Linked DNA regions of Ovis aries. The protein of the gene in region 2 purifies or fractionates together with the protein of the main gene of each other region. This does not show direct contact. Links are inferred from orthologs where the notes say so. Each region holds a gene or a part of one and is shown on either strand. Other genes may lie near its edges.

Region 1 (9,987 bases), on a different chromosome or scaffold from region 2:
CCAAAGTTAATTAAGAAAGATCACCAAACAAAAATATCAAAGTATAGATACGAGAAAAAATTCTTTTCATATATATAGCTTTACCAGAAAATGAACTGTATTATAAACAGCAATGGTGTAAACACAGTAACAGTAAGGAAAGTTAGGTGATCAGAGTAATAGAGAAAATAAATCTCTGGGGAGTTCCCTGGCACTCCAGTGGTTACAACTCTGTGCTTTCACTGCTGTGGCCTGGGGTTCAATCCCTGGTCCAGGAACTAAGATTCCACATGCTGCATGGTACAGAAAAACAAACAAAATCTCAGAAATTGTTATATAATCTATAGTAATTAAGTTTGAAAGTAACATCTTAGATGTTAATATGGAAGAAAAAAGTTTCAATACATGGTTACAATATAAATGCCTGGTAATCTAGACACAAAGTTTATATTCTCATCTCATAGATGAAAAAAATTCTCATGTACTATAAAAATAAATGTGAAAGATTTAAAACATAAAGGGAATTGATAATCCATAAGATCAACAGAAGAATGAAAATGGGTGAGAATTGGTTCTACATATTCAGTATTCTGGCATTAGAAGAAAATATAAAGAAAATGAGCTGGTGTTTGTAAAGATAAAGTTGACAAATATTTACACCATAGGAATATAGTTACCATCTGCACTCTAGCCATAGCACTCTGCTAAGTTCTACAACTGTACATCCAGTGTCAAGTCTTAGATTCTTGAAACTGCATCCTCCAGTTTCTGGTGACAAGAGCTTTTTCTTTTGCTTATGGAGTTGTATATAATGTAGTTGAAATGAATTAACAAATTGATTAATATTTTTATGTTTCCTTCTAGCAAAAAAGGAAGTTCCAAGAGGGCTGGCATTTCATTTTTTCCTTCATCCTCACCTTTTAATCCTTCGAAGGCATAAAACCTGAGATTTAGATACATAACTTTAATAAAATGAATGAATGAACTGCAGTTCCACCCTTTGAGTTTGTGAAATCAGTCTTGACATTAATTTCTTTAAGAGAAACAAATGCAAAAAGATTTGAAAGTAAAACTTTAAATAATAATTTTAAAATAAAAAGATGAACACTTGTGTAATTAGCACAAAACAAAAATACTGAAATATAAGAGATATAGTAAAATATTTAAGTATATAAGTACATTAGTAAGATTATCTGCAATTGTCTGGTGCCTGCTATGAACTAAATGCTTTTACTTATAGTTGTTTAATACTACCAATAAATATTTTGACAAATTTAACCCATTTATTTTATGATGAAGGCAGAAAGAAAGAGGCTTTTGAAATTACTAATATGTGGGAGTATGATGAATTGTATCCATCCACAGTAATTGTTTAAGAGCATACCTCTAATTCCTCAGCTCTTAGACTCTCTTGCAAGCTTGATAATAAAGAGAAGGATTTCATGATTTCTTGCTCTGACAACTTCCCAGGTATTGCAGCTCTGTTCTTTCTTTTCCAGAGAGAAACTGTTTGCTTGGAAGTGCTTTTTCACAACCATTCTGGAATTTTCACAGTTCAGGGGAATTCTTCTGTCTCCAGCTTCAAGCAGGCCTCCAGGACTTGTCCATGCTGATGAAACCCAGTGAAGAATTCCTCCATGCTGGTCTCATTCCAACCAACCTCTTCTGCTGAACAGTTTGAAGACTTGCTGAAGCTTCTGATGGAACATAGCAGTGACCCTTTTGGACCTTGCTGCCATCTGCAGGAAACAACAGAAGACCATTGGAACCAGCTGAATGTCCATCTTTAGGGACTAATCAAATAATGTAGGACCCATCCATTCAGTAGGAAACAATACAGCTATTTAAAAAGATAAAGAAGTTCTCTATAAATGACTAAGATCTCCAGGTTAAAAAAGATAGGTGCAGAACAGTGAGTATAGTATGTTATCTTCATATTTTCATCAGTTAGCTGATACATAAAGAAACTGGAAGGATGTATAAGACAGTAGTAACTTCAAAATGTGGAAAGTGTTGGAAGCAGTTGTCAAAGTATACATTTATTCATATATCCAAATTTAAATTGACTAGTAATTTTTAAAATATAAGTTAATCAACTATATTTGAATTTTTTAAAATGTAAGTTTTAAAATAACCATTAAGGGAAAGATCAGTAGTGGGATAAATATACACTCAAAGTGTTGACTTTAAAAAAGTACTTAAAAAGAGTTGTGAGTTAAGTTTTATTGGGGGCAAAATGAGACTATTGCCCTGGAGATAGCATTTCACATACTCTGGGAAGCTGCTCCAAAGAGGTAGAGGGGTGGTTGGTATATATGTGATTTTAGTGAAGAGAGGGGTATATGCAATCAAGCATGTTTTTTTGCAGAAGGTTTTGCTAGTCACGAGGGAGCAGATATCACCATGAAGGAATTTAGTGCTTTTCTAGATATGAGGAGATGCAAAAATTGTGCTCCTAAAATCAGCTCCTGAAAATATCTATCTGAAGACCTGTTCTGCCAGTTTTTCCAGAGCACAAGAGTGCCTCCTTTCTGATCTCCACTCTGAACACCCATCAGGTGGTGTTGAAGGTCAGCAGCTACAACAGCAGGAGAGATTTATTCAATCCTTGTAGAGGTAGATGGCAAGTGCCAATGAAAAGTGCCAATATGTAGTTTTTCAAAACATCTCTGGTGACAATATTTTGCAAAAAACTTTGTATGTCTTCAAGCAGCATTCTAACATTAGGATTTATCCCAAAATGGGAAGTTTTGTGCTCGGAGTCTGTAACATTGGAGAACAACGAAGTATATATTCAGGAACAAATGACAATTGTCTATCCATTTAAAAACTTGTGAGTGGAAAACAAAAGCACGAAAAATTTACTGATGGAATTCTGCTGCATGGCAAAAATTCAGCCTATATTATTTACATAGCATGGTCATAATTTGGTATTTTAAGAGAGGCAAATAACCTGTTTTAAATGATTAAAATCTGAAAATATGTACCCAGAGTTATACTTGAACTGTCTATTAAATTGTGTGGGATAGGTTTTTTGTTGGTTTTTTTTTTGGTTGAGGAGTTTGAGGGATCTTGGTCTGCAGCCAGGGTTTGAACCCTGGCCACAGCAGTGAAAGTGCCGAGTCCTAACCACTGACCTGCCAGAACATTCCCAGTGTGGGATAAGAATTAATAAAGTTTGTTTTTTATAGAGGAAAACTAAAAGCATCTTTCCCCTAAGGAAGCCTTCTGCCAGGTTTCAGCTTCCAGAAAAGCTGCATTTCATTGTTATCCAAAAGGCAGAAGCCAAGAAATGTAAATCTCGAAGTATTCATTTAGAGGAACAGCTCAGCTGCAGTGAAAGAGTTATATTAAAAATAATATCCGGGCACCCATTCCTATTTAATAATACCACATACAAAGTATCCCGAAGACACCCCGCTGGCCCACCCAGCACAGCTCTGCGCGACCCAAACCCCGCCTGCTCGAGGCACGGCCCACATCCTCCCATCCCCCACACAAGCCCGCCTACTGGCTAGGTCGGGCGGCTGCGCAGCCGCAGTAGCTGCCACGGCCGCTCCTAGCCCGGGGGATCCTGGGACGAGGCCTTTCCGGAAGGACCGGCTCGGCGTTGGGAGCTCGGCCCGTGTTCCAGGCCCAGGCTCGTGTTCCAGGTCCTTGCTCCAGGACGGGCCGGTAGCCGCGGCGACGCTCAAAGGGCGGCGGAGGGCGCGGCGGGCCGCTCTCTGAGGTGCCGGCCCTCGCCGTCGAGCGAGACGCCGGGCCGCAGGACGTGGCGGCACCTCCCCCTTAGCCCGGAGCAGAACTGCGGGAAGAGCAGCGCAGGCCGGACCAGGTGAACCGGGTCACTTAACTGCCTCAGGTGATGAATCATCTACATAGTAGTCAGATTTGAGGTCCACAGCCCTCTGTGGGCCAGCTGCAGAACAATTTTCAATGTGGGACTATTGTGTTCTGAGGCGTGCTGCAGTGACAGTTTGCCCTTGATAAGGAAAGCGAGCTCTCTTGCTCTTGGGACATCCTCGTTTCCTTTAAAGCTTTCCGGTCGTAACCTCTTTGTCCGGCATACATCTTTGTGCAAGAGGAAGGCGTTCACATGAAAGTGTCTCTTGGTAACGGTGAAATGGGCGTCTCCGCCCATTTACAGCCTTGCAAGGCAGGAACCACACGTTTTTTTACCAGCAATACTCACAGTTCGGTGGTACTGCAAGGTTTTGATCAACTTAGAATAGAAGGATTGCTTTGTGATGTGACTCTGGTGCCAGGTGATGGAGATGAAATCTTCCCTGTTCATAGAGCTATGATGGCGTCCGCTAGTGATTACTTCAAGGCTATGTTCACAGGTGGAATGAAAGAACAGGATTTAATGTGCATTAAGCTTCACGGAGTGAACAAAGTTGGTCTGAAGAAAATTATTGATTTTATTTATACTGCAAAGCTTTCTCTTAATATGGACAATCTTCAGGACACTCTTGAAGCTGCCAGCTTTTTGCAAATCTTGCCTGTTTTAGACTTCTGTAAAGTGTTTCTTATTTCAGGAGTCTCTTTAGATAACTGTGTTGAAGTTGGACGAATTGCTAACACCTACAATCTTATAGAAGTAGATAAATATGTCAATAATTTCATTCTGAAGAATTTTCCTGCCTTACTGAGTACTGGAGAGTTTCTAAAACTCCCTTTTGAACGGCTTGCCTTTGTGCTTTCTAGCAATAGCCTTAAGCACTGTACTGAACTTGAGCTCTTTAAGGCTGCCTGTCGCTGGCTAAGGTTGGAAGATCCTCGGATGGATTATGCTGCAAAATTAATGAAGAATATTCGATTTCCACTGATGACACCACAGGATCTCATCAATTATGTGCAGACAGTAGATTTTATGAGAACAGACAATACGTGTGTGAATTTGCTTTTGGAAGCTAGCAATTACCAAATGATGCCATATATGCAGCCAGTGATGCAGTCAGATAGAACCGCCATTCGATCTGATTCGACACACTTGGTTACATTAGGAGGAGTTTTGAGGCAGCAGCTGGTTGTCAGTAAAGAATTACGGATGTATGATGAGAGGGCTCAAGAGTGGAGATCTTTAGCCCCCATGGATGCTCCTCGTTACCAGCATGGCATTGCTGTCATTGGAAACTTTCTTTATGTAGTTGGTGGTCAAAGTAATTATGATACAAAAGGAAAAACTGCTGTTGATACAGTTTTCAGATTTGATCCTCGATATAATAAATGGATGCAGGTTGCATCATTAAATGAAAAGCGCACATTTTTCCACTTGAGCGCCCTCAAAGGACATTTGTATGCTGTTGGTGGGCGAAGTGCAGCTGGTGAGCTGGCCACTGTAGAATGTTACAATCCAAGAATGAATGAGTGGAGCTATGTTGCGAAAATGAGTGAACCCCACTATGGCCATGCTGGAACAGTGTATGGAGGCTTAATGTATATTTCAGGAGGAATTACTCATGACACTTTCCAAAATGAGCTCATGTGTTTTGACCCTGATACAGACAAATGGACACAGAAGGCTCCAATGACAACAGTCAGAGGTCTGCATTGCATGTGTACAGTTGGAGACAAGCTCTATGTCATTGGTGGCAATCACTTCAGAGGAACAAGTGATTATGATGATGTTCTAAGCTGTGAATACTATTCGCCAACTCTTGACCAGTGGACACCAATTGCTGCCATGTTAAGAGGTCAAAGTGATGTTGGAGTTGCTGTCTTTGAAAATAAAATCTATGTCGTAGGTGGATATTCTTGGAATAATCGTTGTATGGTAGAAATTGTCCAGAAATATGACCCAGAAAAGGATGAGTGGCATAAAGTTTTTGACCTTCCAGAGTCACTTGGTGGCATTCGAGCTTGTACTCTCACAGTTTTTCCACCTGAAGAAAATCCTGGGTCACCTTCCAGAGAATCACCTCTTTCAGCACCTTCAGATCATTCTTAGGACCAAGGTGTAAAACCTTTGCAGTGCATCAAGGATGATCCCGTAATTCCCCTTCAGTTGTATCTTCTTACAATGATTGGTACAGTTATTAGATTAAAAAGGTAATTGATGTTATTTGTATTGTTTGGCTTAGTATGTTTATCAAATGGTTAACAACTGTATTCTGCAAATGTATGTGTTCAACATAGCTATTTTAACAAATGTAAAAAGCAGAAAAATTGTTAGATATCTTTTTGTGGTGTTGTGTAAGGCAGAGTGTAGGTGATTGAAGTAAATGTATAATTATGTTCATTATGCTTCAAAGTTGAAAGTTTTCATCTTTGACTACAAGACATCAAAGGGAGGATGCCTACTATAACCTAAAATAATAAACAAAAAAGGTCGTCAAGCCTTATTAGCTGCTTCCCTTTTTTCATGGTTTGTGACATAGCTGCTGACTCACCAAATTGTGTGGGTACATTCAGAATATGTGACAATTCTTCAGCAGACTGGAGGAATATTAACTCAAAAACTAGTATAACCCCAAGTCAGCGTTTCATATCTCTTTCTGGGGAGAGGAAGAGAGAAAATACATTACCACACACATACATATGTATATACATGCATATACATATATAATTTTTAAATTGATTGGCACTTCAGCTATAGTAAATTGTAAATTTAAACTCTTCTACATAGCAGCTATTTCTATTCAAATGGGAATTCACTACTAGAGAATAAATGTCTATGTAGTCTTACTGCAGTGATGTAGATAAGGACTTGAACATTAAATTATTAATAACCAAATAGGTCATTTGACTGAATCATTACTATAGATGAAACTTAACTTTTCCTGCTTGTATATTGTTTTCTGTAGAGTTGCCTTTATACAGATTATTTAACAGAGTTCAAGTCTCAGAGAATTGTTTTTGCTCAGTAAATTTAGGCTCTGCTACTTTCCACATTTGTGTTCAGTAAAACTTAAGAAAAAGACAAAAGCATGCTCAACAAAGCTGTAGGTTTTTAAGTTCGGTCTCTCAACTTAGTCATTCTGACATAACTATTTGATTTGAGGTGGTTGCTGTGGTGCTGCTCCAGCTTTGTGTGATCCGTCTTGAGGCTGTGATCTGAGCAAGTGGAAGATGTACTTTCGGCATCACATCAGAAAATGTCCTTTTGGCTATGTCTGAAGGACAGGACCAACTTCAGATTCCCTAAGAAGCCAGCTATAGAAAGCCTAGGACACTGTTGTCTTGCAGGCAGTACTAAAATATATCTTCAGCCTCTTCAATACCAGAGGTGTCCCTACCGGTTGAGAACCACAAGGGGAGACCTTAATGGGACCTTATCAGCAAATGGAATCATATGTGTCCTCTGAAGTGAGTGATTCTGAAGAATCTGAAGAGGTACTTCCCTGGAATAATTGCCTGCCTGAAGAAAAAATTTATATACATACATTTACATGTATATTAATATTTATATCCCTGTACTTGGGAGATTGTCATAGTGTAAATCAGAAACAACCTTGTTATTGACAATCTCAGGAACCAAAACGAAAGGAATTGGCTTCAAGGGATCTGAGCCTCACTGCCCTTTTCATTTTAATGATTTCTGCATTGGCAGAAAATTTCATACTTCCTATTTTTTTAAATGACTCAATTTTTTATTACTAAATATAGCACACGTGAGTACATTTAGAAAATAGAAAAAGTAGAAATTGTAATAACTTCATGCATCAAATAAGCAAGAAAGAACATCTCAGTTATTTCCTTAATTATTAACTAGGTTAAATATTTGCATTTTTTCAGTAGCTGTGTTCCTCTTTAACCAAATGTTAATATCCTTTGCTCTTGTAATACCTATTGGAGTTGCTTTCTTTTTCATATCAAGTTATAGCATCTTTATATAATAAATATAATTTAACTGGCATTTGCTTGCATTGACTTTTTTCTCAGTCTGTTAGAAGTTTACAAGACAGGACATTCAGTTAATTTTTGAGATCAAATTTGTCCATCTTTTGCATTTTGACCTTTTGGGTATAAATTTGCCAAGTTTCCTTTATTTTTTATGTCATTTTTGACGCTAATTCTGACATGCTGAAATGGTACTGTTCTGCATAAGCTTTTTTCTTTTCCTTGTTGAGAAAAGGTTTCTGCCTTCTATTACATTTGACCCTGTTGTTTTGTAATTAAATATTATTTATCCAGGTAAGTTAACTGCTCCACCTATACCCCCTACCTCCAGCCTCACACATCCCACCTCTCATCCTTTTACTTTATAATTTTCTGCAGTTTACAAGTCTCTTGATAATCATAAAACAACTCACTGGTGCTTTGCTAATTAAATATATTAAATCTGGCATTCCTTCCTTACAGATATGGAAATTTTAGATGACTGAAATGATTGGGATGATACCTGTTTTAACAAGCTGATAGTTTTGGGTTTTTTGTTTTTTTTTTTTACAGAAAATTTAGACTGTAGAAAAATATTTAAAAGAGGATAAAAACTGTAACAATATAAAACATTTTGTTAAATTTTAATTTCTTGTTTTAGTTTTTCTGATAGGGTCAAAAGTTGACTTTTGTTAAGTCTTCTGATTATAAAAATAATTTGTCTGTTACGTAAGTTATTGTTTAGTCGCTGAGTTGTGTTCGATTCTTTGCGACCCTATGGACTGTAGCCCACCAGGCTCCTCTACCCATGGGATTTCCCAGGCAAGAATACTGGGATGGATGGCCGTTTCCTTCTCCAGAGGATCTTCCTAATCCAGGGATCAAATCCGCATGTACTGCACTGGTAGGTGGATTCTTTACCACTGAGCCACCAGGGAAGCCCTGTGGTAAGTACAGGAAAATAAAAATGAACAGAAGGTATAAATTATCAATGATTACACATTCAAAGGTAAAATGTTAATTGTGAATTTACCTGCGTACAAAGTGAAAGTCTCTCAGTTGTGTCTGACTCTTTGCAACCCCATGGACTGTAGAGTCCATGGACTTCTCCAGGCCAGAATACTGGAATGTGTAGCCATTCCCTTTTCCAGGTAATCTTTCCAACCCAAGGGTCAAACCCAGGTCTCCCGCATTGTGGGTAGATTCCTTACCAGCTGAGCCACCAGGTAAGCCCAGGAATACCGGAGTGAGTAGCCTATCCCTTCTCCAGCAGATTTCCCCGATCCAGGAATCGAATCAGGGTCTCCTGCCTGCATTGCAGAGACTCTACAGACACTTGTCAGATATATTGCAAATACACCAAACCTTAAGCTAAAATCTGGATTATGAAGTAAGTTCAACTTCCAGAGACACACACTGCTATTATTATGGCTTTCTCCAAGTTTTCTAAAATCTATATGTATTAGAAAGTAGTATATGGGATGTTTCTTCCTTAATTATCAAATGCATGTACATTAAGAAAAACATTACATTTATAAACCAGATTAATATCCATACTTAATTTTTTCCCATTTGCCTAGAGTAGTATTTCTGTATTTTACCTGCAAAGTAAACATATTTAATCATGTTGCAATTTTTCTGGTTTCTAATTAAAATTATCTTGTTCTGATTATAAAGACAAAATATACACCTTCAGAAAATTTCACTCAAAACTACCAAAACATACTATTGAGAATTCAAAGCAACATTCTGTTCGCAGCTCAACTGAAAGAACTTAGGGTAAGTTAACCTCTCCAAGGTTCATTTTCCAGTTTGTCCATGGGGTGGATGGTGGGTGTTAATAAATGTATCTATATTAGAATTATAAGGAGATAATATAAAGTGATCAGCATAAAACATATACAGAGAAGCGTTAGGATAGTTGTTACTAATTGGCCTTGTACTACATCATGTTTTAGTTTAATTTTGTCTTAATGATTTTCAGATTCTTTTCTTTGAAAGTGTTAAATATACCATATTTTATCCATGAATATGCCTTCATATTTTTTCCATTTCCTTATGGGTTATATTTAAATATCTAACCCTAATTTTTTATCATAAATTAAGCAAGATTTAAAGCTCTTTCATAAAACTTTTTCCATCTCTATTGCCCTGTGATAAATTCTAAGTAAAATCTGAGTGAAATAG
Region 2 (9,868 bases):
TTTGTAAGTTTTGGACAAACTCATTTCGTAGCAAAGACTGATCAGACACCATGTATCTATTTATACTCTTTATAAACAGGCTTCCCTGGTGGCTCAGATGGTAAAGAATTTGCCTGCAATGCAGGAGATTCAGGTTCTATCCTTGGGATGGGAAGATCCCCTGGAGAGGGAAATGGCAACCCATTCCAGTATTCCTGCCTGGAGAATTCCATGGACAGAGGAGCCTGGAGGGCTATAGTCCATGGGGTTGCAAAGTCAGACACAATTCTTCTTTTTTTTTTTTTTCATAAATAGGATACCTACACTCTTCAACCAACTTGATGTGAATAGTCATATATTTTAGCACATTAACAAGTTTGATTTCATGTTGCTACTCCAGATCCTGATGAGGTCTAATATCTAATGTACTGTAAGCATCAAATTACCTTTCTAAAAAAATGTCCTAAATTCTGAAATTCAGCTCCCTTAAGGGATTTCAGGTATGGAACCATGGACCTGTGTGATGAGTAGGTGTTTACACGTCTCCTGTCTATGTGTGGGGAGCTACCATCGCTGTAGCACTGAATGGATACAGACTAGTGCCTTCCAGGGCATCTGCCCTATTCATACCTCCACCAGCAGGGGATCAGGGTGCCTCTTTCCCTGCACCAATACCAACACAACGCTCCACTTGTTTCTGGGAGGGAGGGGAGTGGGGTTATAGATTGTTATCCCTTTTTAAAAAACACTTTTCTAAAAGAAAACTTTTTTATTATAGAATAGTTTTACAGAAAAATTACAAAGATAATACAGAGTTCCTGTATGCTCCCCGCCCACCCTCCAAAATTAACTCGAGTAACACATTAGCGTGATACACTTGTCAGTGTACCGTGAATGAACCAGTACTGATAATTACTACTAACCAAAAATCCATATTTTGTTTAGACTTCCATAATTTTACCCAGGGTCCTTTTTCTGAGCCACGATCCTGTTCAGGACACTCCACAACACTCAGTTGTTATGTCTACTTAGGCTCCTTTCATTTGTGACAGTGTTTCAGGCTCTCCTTTTCTGTTTTTGGCGACCTGGACAGTTGAAGACTGGTCAGGTATTTTAAAGAATGTCCTTCAAATGGGATTTGTCTAGTGTTTCTCCAGATTAGACAAAGGTGATGGGTTTTTCAGAGGGAGACCACGAGGCAGAGAGTTGGTCTCAGCCCATCGTGTCAAGGGTGCCTGCAGTCACCATAACCTGTTGCTGTCATACTGACCCTAACTACCTGGCTGAGGTTGTGGCGGCCAGGCATCTCCTCTGTACACTCATCTTGCACCTGTTTGCATGCTGCACTCTTTGCAGGGAAATTGCTATGCACAGCCCACACTTAAGGGTGAGTGGTTATGCTCTACTTCCTAGAGGGTGGAGTGTTTACATAAATGATTTGGAACTCTTCTGAACAGGAAAATTGTTCTCCTCCATTTATTATTTATTCAGTATGCTATCTTTATCAGTATGGAACCAAGGATGCTCATTTTTAACTTTGGGTCTTAATATAGTGACTATTTGCTCCACATTTCGCCATTGGGAACTCTTCCAGTTGGCTCCTAGGTCCCTCTGACATATTCCCTTCACTGTGGGTTTTCCCTCCCTTTTTGAGCACTTCCGTATCTCCTGGCATTATAAGATGGTATAAGCTCAACTTGTATATTTCTATCCCAGTCCTAGAGTCAGCCATTTCTCCCAGGAGTTCCAGTCCTTCATCTGGAGATAAGCTTAGAAATCAGGATCTGGGTATTCAGTGTGTGTTGCTGCTGGGGCTTTGTTGCTTCTGATCCTCTCAGCTGAGAGAGCAAGGGCATACATATGTGAATACTGACCTGTATATGTACACATTTCTAGAAATATTTCTATGAAAAGCCATCTGTATCTACACTAAGCTAAACAGGAGTTTATGCTGATACCTCCAGTTCTAACCCATAACCACATGAATCATTCTAGGTTTCTTTCTTGCTTCTCTGTAGCCTCTCATGCCACTAATGAGAAGCCGGGCTCCATAACCCTCACCATTTACTTAGTTGTTGATTACCTTTATACATACGCAGGAGTCTGAGAAATGATAACCTACACTCCTGTGGAAAACAACTTTAGAATTTAGTGTTTACATGCAATTCCTTTTGCCTTTAGTCTTATAGACACCATTGCTTTCCAAAGTTACTTGGGTTAGCATCTTTCAGATGGGGTCAGTATCCCTTTCAGAGAAGCTGCTTCATACACTAAAAAAATATCTATTTGTTTATTTTTGGCTGAGCTAGGTCTTTGTTTCTGTCTTCAGGCTTTCTCTAGTTGCGGAGATCGGGGGCTACTCTTTAGTTGTGGCGCATGGGCTTCTCATTGCAGTGCCTTGTGGTTGTAGAGCACGGGCTCTAGGTGTGTGGGTTCAGTAGTTGTGGGGCACGGGTTTCGTTGTTCTGCAGCATGTGGAATATTCCCCGGGCCAGGGACTGAACTCATTTCTCTTGCATTGGTTGGATTCTTAACCCCTGGACCACCAGGGAAGCCCTTATACATTTTTAATATAGTTAGATTCTTGCATCACATTCCTTCTTCCATTCTGATTTTACAAAATCACGTGTGTAAAAGTTTGTTGGGGGTATTCAGGGGAACACGATCCCTGGCTGACCCTCTAGCTAGACCCAGGCAATGGGAGACTCCTCACCTCTTCCTCTGTCCTTGTAATGTATGCTCTGCCTACCATTCCCACAGCGAGAGTTGTTTTCAACAACATCTTCCTCTCAACACCTGGAGAAAGGAAGGTGTTTTTGAGACCATCTGGATAGTGTATGTGATTGAACCCAGTTAAGGTGTCTGTATAAACGTTTGTGATTCTGGCAGAGTGGACGTGAAAATATACTGGTCTTGTGGCTGCCTAGGACAAGTAACTGTCCTTGCTTATTAAACCTACCTACCAGTCTGAAGTGGTCTGCCTCTTTCTTCCATCTCTCCTTGCTCTGTGTATACAGAGACTAGATTGTGAACAAAGATCCACTCAAATTATTAGGACAGACCAATGGATATTAATGTGACAAAGTAGGAGACGTTTATTGATACAATTTCAGATTTCACAGTGCAACTAATCTTTAAGAAACTACAATTTGTTGAATGTTGGTGTAGTTTCCAAGAATAATACATTTATTTGAAAAGGCCAATTAAACTGCTATTTGTATAAGACTGGGTTTCTCATACTTCAATCAAAATACCATACTGCAATGCAGTGAATGCAGCAGATATGAGAATCTGGCTGTCATCGATTCAATTAAGCTAGATAGTAAAGAGATTTGCAAAAATTTTAAAGGATGCTTTGTTTCTCATAAACTTTTACTGCTCTGAAGAACCTTCAGTTCAGTTCAGTTCCGTCAGTCGCTCAGTCGTGTCCGACTCTTTGCGAAGGACCTTACTTCTTTACAAAAATGTTAACATATTTTTATTATATTAAAATGCATAAATAAATATTTAAACATTTTGTTTTTATGTCCAATATGGTAACTATCAATAAACATAACACACATAAAATTTATGAAGACTCCAAAGAATCTTTGATATATTTTAAGAATGAAAATGGGTCTTTTTTTTCTCCTTTTGGCCATGGCCACACTTGCGGGATCTTTGTTCCTGGACCAGGGATTGAACCTGGGCACTCTGATGCAGAGTCCTAACCACTGGACCCTCAGGGAATCCCCTGTAAATAGGTCCTAAGTCCAAAAAGTTTCGGAATCACTGCTCTAGAGCAATTTATCTGAGTTTGACTTTATTTACAATTCATTAGAGTCCATATACTATGAAGAAACATGTTAACTTGTAGATCTCAGGCCAGTAGAGATGCAAATCATTTCCATCCACTAGGAAAGATAATCTACACCATTTTATAGGACACCAGCCAGCTTTGTATACAATCTAGCCATCTTACTGCTTTCTGAAAGTTATAAATACCCAGTTTCTCGAAAAGCTGTCAATTAAAATGGATAAATCTCTGATGTGTTCATTATATATTTGAGTGTTATGCTTCGATTTTCAGATTATGCTTTGAAAGACCCTTAGAACACGTATACATGCTGTGTGAGTATATATATACTGTGCGTACACATATATACTACACACACACATATATACATACGTATATGTATATTTCACAGGATGGCACACCAGATTCTCTATTCTGCATCTAGCTCTGTCCATTTAATACTGGTACATGCACTCACTTGACAATCTTGTCTTCTTTTATTTATGCACATCACCTTGCATTTCACTCACGACTATGTTAGTAACGGGAAACACACCAACAGAAAGGTCGCATTTTCCTCTTTGGACTCTCAAGCAAAATGTTCTCGCTGTCCCGCCTTGTTTCTGGACATCCAGTCTGGAACACAGCCCACAAACCACGTGACAACAGCGTGGCTCACGTAACAGTTGTTGCCCGCGTTACAACTTTTCCGCCAGTTTCCAACATGGCCACTAGGCGCCCTCAATGCCGCAGCCCCGGGTCCTCTTGCGCTTCGGGGCCTTCTGCTCCTCAGCGAGACCGCCCGAGAAGCCCGGGGGCAGTAGGGGCGGTGCCCGGGTCCAGTCGGCTCCAGCGCAGTCCAGCCCAGCTCCACCGCGGGGGCGAACAAGAGCGGACCGGAAGTTTCCCGGGCGCGCTAGCGGCCGAGGCCATTACTGCAGAGCACCGGAAGTGGCCATAGGCCGGCGTCCGGGCCGCGCCCGCAGTGAGTGAGCTTTCCTCCGGCCGGCGACGCCATGGAGCCTGGGGCGGCCGAGCTGTACGATCAGGCCCTGCTGGGCATCTTGCAGCACGTGGGCAACGTTCAGGACTTTCTGCGTGTGCTTTTCGGCTTCCTCTACCGCAAAACGGACTTCTACCGCCTGCTGCGCCACCCGTCGGACCGCATGGGCTTTCCCCCGGGGGCCGCGCAGGCGCTGGTGCTGCAGGTAACGCGCGGTAGGCGGGAAGCTTGGGGTGAGGTGGGGAAGATCGTGGGAGCCCCGACCCCCGCGAACCCGCTCCCGTAGTCTCCCACCCTCTGGGAGCTCAGGCTCCTGCGAGCCCGCCGCTTCCTCCGCTGCCGGCCTCAGTTCATCCTCTGGCGCTTCCCCCGACCCGCCTTCTGCGGCCGCGGCTTCTGCCGAGATGCTGGTCTGTTATCAGTTTACTCCTGTGCGAGAGGTGCCGGCTCTATAGCAGCTTGGTCCGATAGGGTGCATTTGGATATCAGAAGCTTAGGGCTCCGGTCAGCTCCAGCAGCGCGTAACCCTTCGAGTGACAGAGAATGAAAACTGCAGGCTAGACTTGGGGAAGGGGCGGCGGCAGCACGGACACCTGCACACCCCAGAATTACGACTACTGGACGAGAGGGAGGCTGTATGATGGGTGTGGGTCTCTTATTTGAAATGTGACTTTTTACATCGAAGACATAGTATAATAGTACTTAATAAGTTTACATATGAGCATATATGTGTGCATCCCAGGTTAAGCTTATTGTTGGAGGCTGTCATTCACTGTAGTTGACGGGGTATTTGAAATGTAATAAGCAAGAGTTCACACTCAGCCGCTGCAGGCATTAGAGATACACTGGTTATGCGGATGGTTAAATAATGGTTTCTCTGCTTGGGACACTTACGCTATATTTAAAGAGATGAAATACAGTAGCAGGGATCTTTGCCTGTTACCTGACAAAGCCATTGGAAGGAAGGGAATAGAAATGATCTTTTGGAAATGAAGACGAGTTTTGTAGAGGAGGTGGAATTTTGATGGGATCGACAGAGGATACTCAGTCAAGCATTGAGCCAGGAACCTGAGAAGGTGGAAATGCTGGCGATACCTCTCACTGTCGTCTAGCACTTTACAGTTTATGAAGTGATTTCAAAGGTTTATCTCGTGAAGTCTTTTTACTCGCTTCAGGTTGGCCCGATATTACTTTCCTAAGTGCCTGCATGAAGAAACAAAAGCTTAGAATGTTTGAATAACTACCAGAGATAATATGGTCAAATGAGGAGTGAGGTTGGTATTCAGTTTGAAAACTTAAGGCTGTTCCTCATCCTTGTAGTGGTTAAGTACCATCCAAGTGATCAGAGAACTGTGTGTCAGAGATGGTTTTTAGCAAATCCTTTGGCAAATTAATAATTTCCCGGAAGCCTGTGAAGTAGATAAGGATGAATTTTATGTGGCAAATGAGGGTGCTAGTTCAGCAGATCAAGTGGTTTGACCAAACTCATCATAGAGCTAGAGCTCAAAACTTCATTTTTCTGATTCCATATCTTTCTGTTCTATTATTTAACCAATCCATTGTAGAGTGGCAACACTTTTGTCTAGGGTGATCTTTTGCAGAAAAAAGAAAGGACCATTTACTGAGCACCTAGTAGTTGTTATGTAATTTTTGTTCTAGGTTGTCATTTGTTCCTAACAACCTGAATAGGTTGATCTTTTTCCTTGTTTTACAGGTAAACTGACAGAGGTAATTCATGAATCTGGTAACAGTATGTAAGACACCTACTATGTTTTAGACACTCTCAAAGGTTAAGACTTGGTGAACAGTTTAATAAAGTGGAGGTGGGGAACAAGGCAGAGAGAGAGGTGGGATGGGCCAGCGGTGACCCAAGGTTTCAGTCCAGGGCACTGTAATATTGGTAATGCATTCACTGAACTGTCACCTGAGTTTAGGGGAAGAAGCTTAGTTTTAGACAAGTTGAATTGGAGATTTCAGACAGAAGTCTCTGTCCATAGGCTGTTGAATTGTGGGACTGAATCTCATGGGAGGTAGAAGAATCTGAGTGGTTTGAAGGAGAGGAGCTGAAGGTGAAGGAGCACGGCAGAGAGAAGGTGCCTTTGGACAGAAGGACCCCAGAGAAGGAACTGGAGAAGCAAGAGGCTGTGGGAGTGGGAGGGGGATGGAAGGAAGTGGGCAGCGCAGTAAGTTCCATGGAAACCAGGAGGGACAATTTCTAGCAGGTAGTTAAGAGGAGTGTAGTGTTTTTTCAGAGTGGTTCTCAATCGTCAGCATTGCCCAAGGAACTTTAAAAGATATCCTCTGGTTATTTTGGTTGAGTAAATCAGGGTAAATCCTGGGGAGCTGTTCTTTTATTCACAGAGGCATTGGGCAGTGGGGTGCTTGGGGGTCTCTTCAGAACTCAGGCAAAGAGAGTTTGGATGGCAGTATTGTAGTGCTCCATTCTGGAACTCCTGTTTTCCCCTGATATTTGGGGGTATGGGATGTTTGTGTGGTTTAAACCTTCTTCAACTTTTCCTCCCAGTTCTAAGGGGTTGCACAGCCAGGCTGTACAGTTTAAAGGACCTTCAGCAGGAAAGATGCATGTGGAAATTGTATTCCACTCCCTTATTTATAAGTATATTTTAAGAAAACAGTAATTGAGACTGACATTTTGTTCATTTCAGTTGAACGTGTGTTTATTCTGGAGTTCAGTTTGGGAAGCCTGCTTAAAAGGTACCCCCCCCCCCCGCCCCCCGCCCACCTCCCCGTGAGAGTCAGGAAAGCTAGCTCTTTTTGCTCCTCCCGGAGCTTCTTGGGAAGTCTTGGGAGAATCACTCTTCTCTCTGTCAGTTGAGAAGGTTGATTGGAGGTCAGGGACACGTCTTCCAGCTCCGCATTCCAGCATTCTGAAATGAGTGCTGAGGTCAGCGGCGATGTGAGAGGTGAAGCAGGTGTCATCTTAGAGGAGGCAGGAATGCTCAGTAAGCAAGGGTAGTGTGGACCACAGTGTCATCAGGAGTATGAGGCCTGGGGTCCAAGGGAGGTTCCCAGTGTTTGGAACGAGCCCTTGCTGTTACTTCTTTTCTGGAGTTAAGATGAAGATGTGGTGTGTCAGGAAGATGAACGGCTCTGAGGGCAGTGGGTCTGGTGTCTGGTGTCATTGACATGGGTGTGAGAGGAGTGAGTCAGGGGCTCAGGTTCTCTGGAGAAGCAGAGATAGGTACTGTTCCTAGTTTTTAACCTTAGGATTTCCCTTGCCTTCCTTTGCCTCCATTTCCTTTCAGTGTTTAATGTGTTTCCTGTATAATTGTTTACTTTCTTCTTTCATTGGCAGAATCTTGGGCAAGGTACTCTCTGAGCTTAGTCTTCCCTCATCTTTGGAATATCAGTGCTATCTTCCTAACAGCATTTTCCTGAGGGTTGTGAGAGAATGTTTATAAAAACACTGACATTGTAACTTCTCTTGTTCTGTCTTCTTGCCCAGTGCACACAGCAGTTATTTAGCCCCTGTCTGCATTCTAACCCTTTGGAAACTGACTCCTACACACTTTAAAACATTTTTATTTTGTTAAGACTACTTTTTAGAGTTGTTTTAGGTTCAGAACAAAATTGAGGGGAAAGTACAGAGATTCCCATTTACCCCCTGCCACCCCCACCCCTACAGCTTCCCCTATTGTCAATATCCCCCGCCAGAGTGGTACATTTCTTACAATGGATGGACCTGCATTGACGTATCATAGTCACCCAAACCCAGACTTCACTTTGGAGGTATTCTTAGTGTTGTTCACTTTATGAGGTTTGGACAAATGTATGATGACATGCATCCCTCATTATGACATCACACAGAGTATTTTCACTCCCCTAAAAAAATCCTGTGTAGTCTTACCTGTTCATTCCTTTCTGCCCTCAACCTCTGGCAACCACTGGTCTTTTTATTGTCTCCAAAGTTTTGCCTTTTCCACAGTGTCATATAGTTGGAATCACACATTGTGTAGCATTTTCAAATTGGCTTCTTTTACTGATAATGCATTTAAATAACCTCCATGCCTCTTCATGGCTGATAGCTCATTTCTTTTTATGGCAGAATAATATTCCATTGTCTGGATGTACCAGTTTGTTTATCCCATCATTTATTGAAGGATATCTTGGTTGCTTCCAAGTTTTGGCTATTATGAATAAAGTTGCTATAAACATCCATGGACAGGTTTTTGTTGGTACATGTTTTCAACTTCTTTGGGTAAATACCAAGGAGCATAGTTGCTGGATTGAATGTAAGGGTCTCCTCCCACCCACTTTTCAAGGTGGATCTTCTGGCTTTCCTGTCTCCAGCTGCCATAAGAGATACTTCTTGATGAGCCCACCTCTTGGCGCTGTGACATTTCCTCTGGAAGATGTACCTCTCATTCAAGGTCTGATTCAGACCCTCTTCTTCTAAGAAATGTCCTTAGCTCGCTCTCACCAGAATGCTCGTTTGCACCCACATTCCGATGGCATCACATGTATCTATCACAGCCTTTCCTGTCAGACTTGTCACTTCTGGGTCTGTCCTGGCCACACTTCAGGGTTATGTGCAGCCTAGAATAGTGCATGCAAAGTGCCGTTTTCCTGTGCACTTTTTGGATGGAGAGTTGCAGCACTTTTTTGGGTGTGACTGTGTCCCAGGAAAGATTAATGACTGATCCACATGCCAGGAAATTGAGTTCTTCAAGGGTGGGAGCTGTCGTTGGGTTTTTGGTGCTCCTGGCAAGCTTTAGGCACATTGTGAATGTCTTTTGAATTCCCAGGGTAAGACTTGCACTGTCCCTCCTCCCATGCAGTGTAGGATGATAGCAGCAATCCAGCGAGCCGGCCTATATTGTGGATTGAAATTCAACTAATTCCCCATCTTCCCTTTTAGCATCTGAGTTGTTGGGGCCTTTATAGCTCTCAGCACCAGGGCAGTGGGTTCTTTGCATTTTGAACAAGACTCTCTGGGGCTATAGAAGTAATGACAGATGAGACCATTTAGTTACACATCCTTTTGACTTAAATGTTGGGCTCATAGGCATGTAAATATTGTGAGCCTTGGCTTATAAATTTCACTTTTTCGTTGATTTTGGAACTCCCCTGTTAAAGATTGTTTTCAAAGT

What was found. The genes of interacting proteins can lie anywhere in the genome.
Region 1: the proteins of NUDCD3 (region 2) and KLHL9 purify together in Homo sapiens (co-immunoprecipitation; 3 studies listed by BioGRID and IntAct, with this or other methods). This does not show direct contact. The link is inferred for Ovis aries from reciprocal best matches to the Homo sapiens genes NUDCD3 and KLHL9.

What each region holds. Positions count from the first base shown.
Region 1 is NC_056055.1:89,888,834-89,898,820, reverse strand, and holds the start of KLHL9 (kelch-like protein 9), read left to right. Parts: upstream 1-3,545; 5' UTR 3,546-4,075; coding exon 4,076-5,929; 3' UTR 5,930-6,030; intron 6,031-8,588; exon of another isoform or gene 8,589-8,622; 3' UTR 8,623-9,987.
Region 2 is NC_056057.1:78,565,842-78,575,709, forward strand, and holds the start of NUDCD3 (nudC domain-containing protein 3), read left to right. Parts: upstream 1-4,738; 5' UTR 4,739-4,770; coding exon 4,771-4,962; intron 4,963-9,868.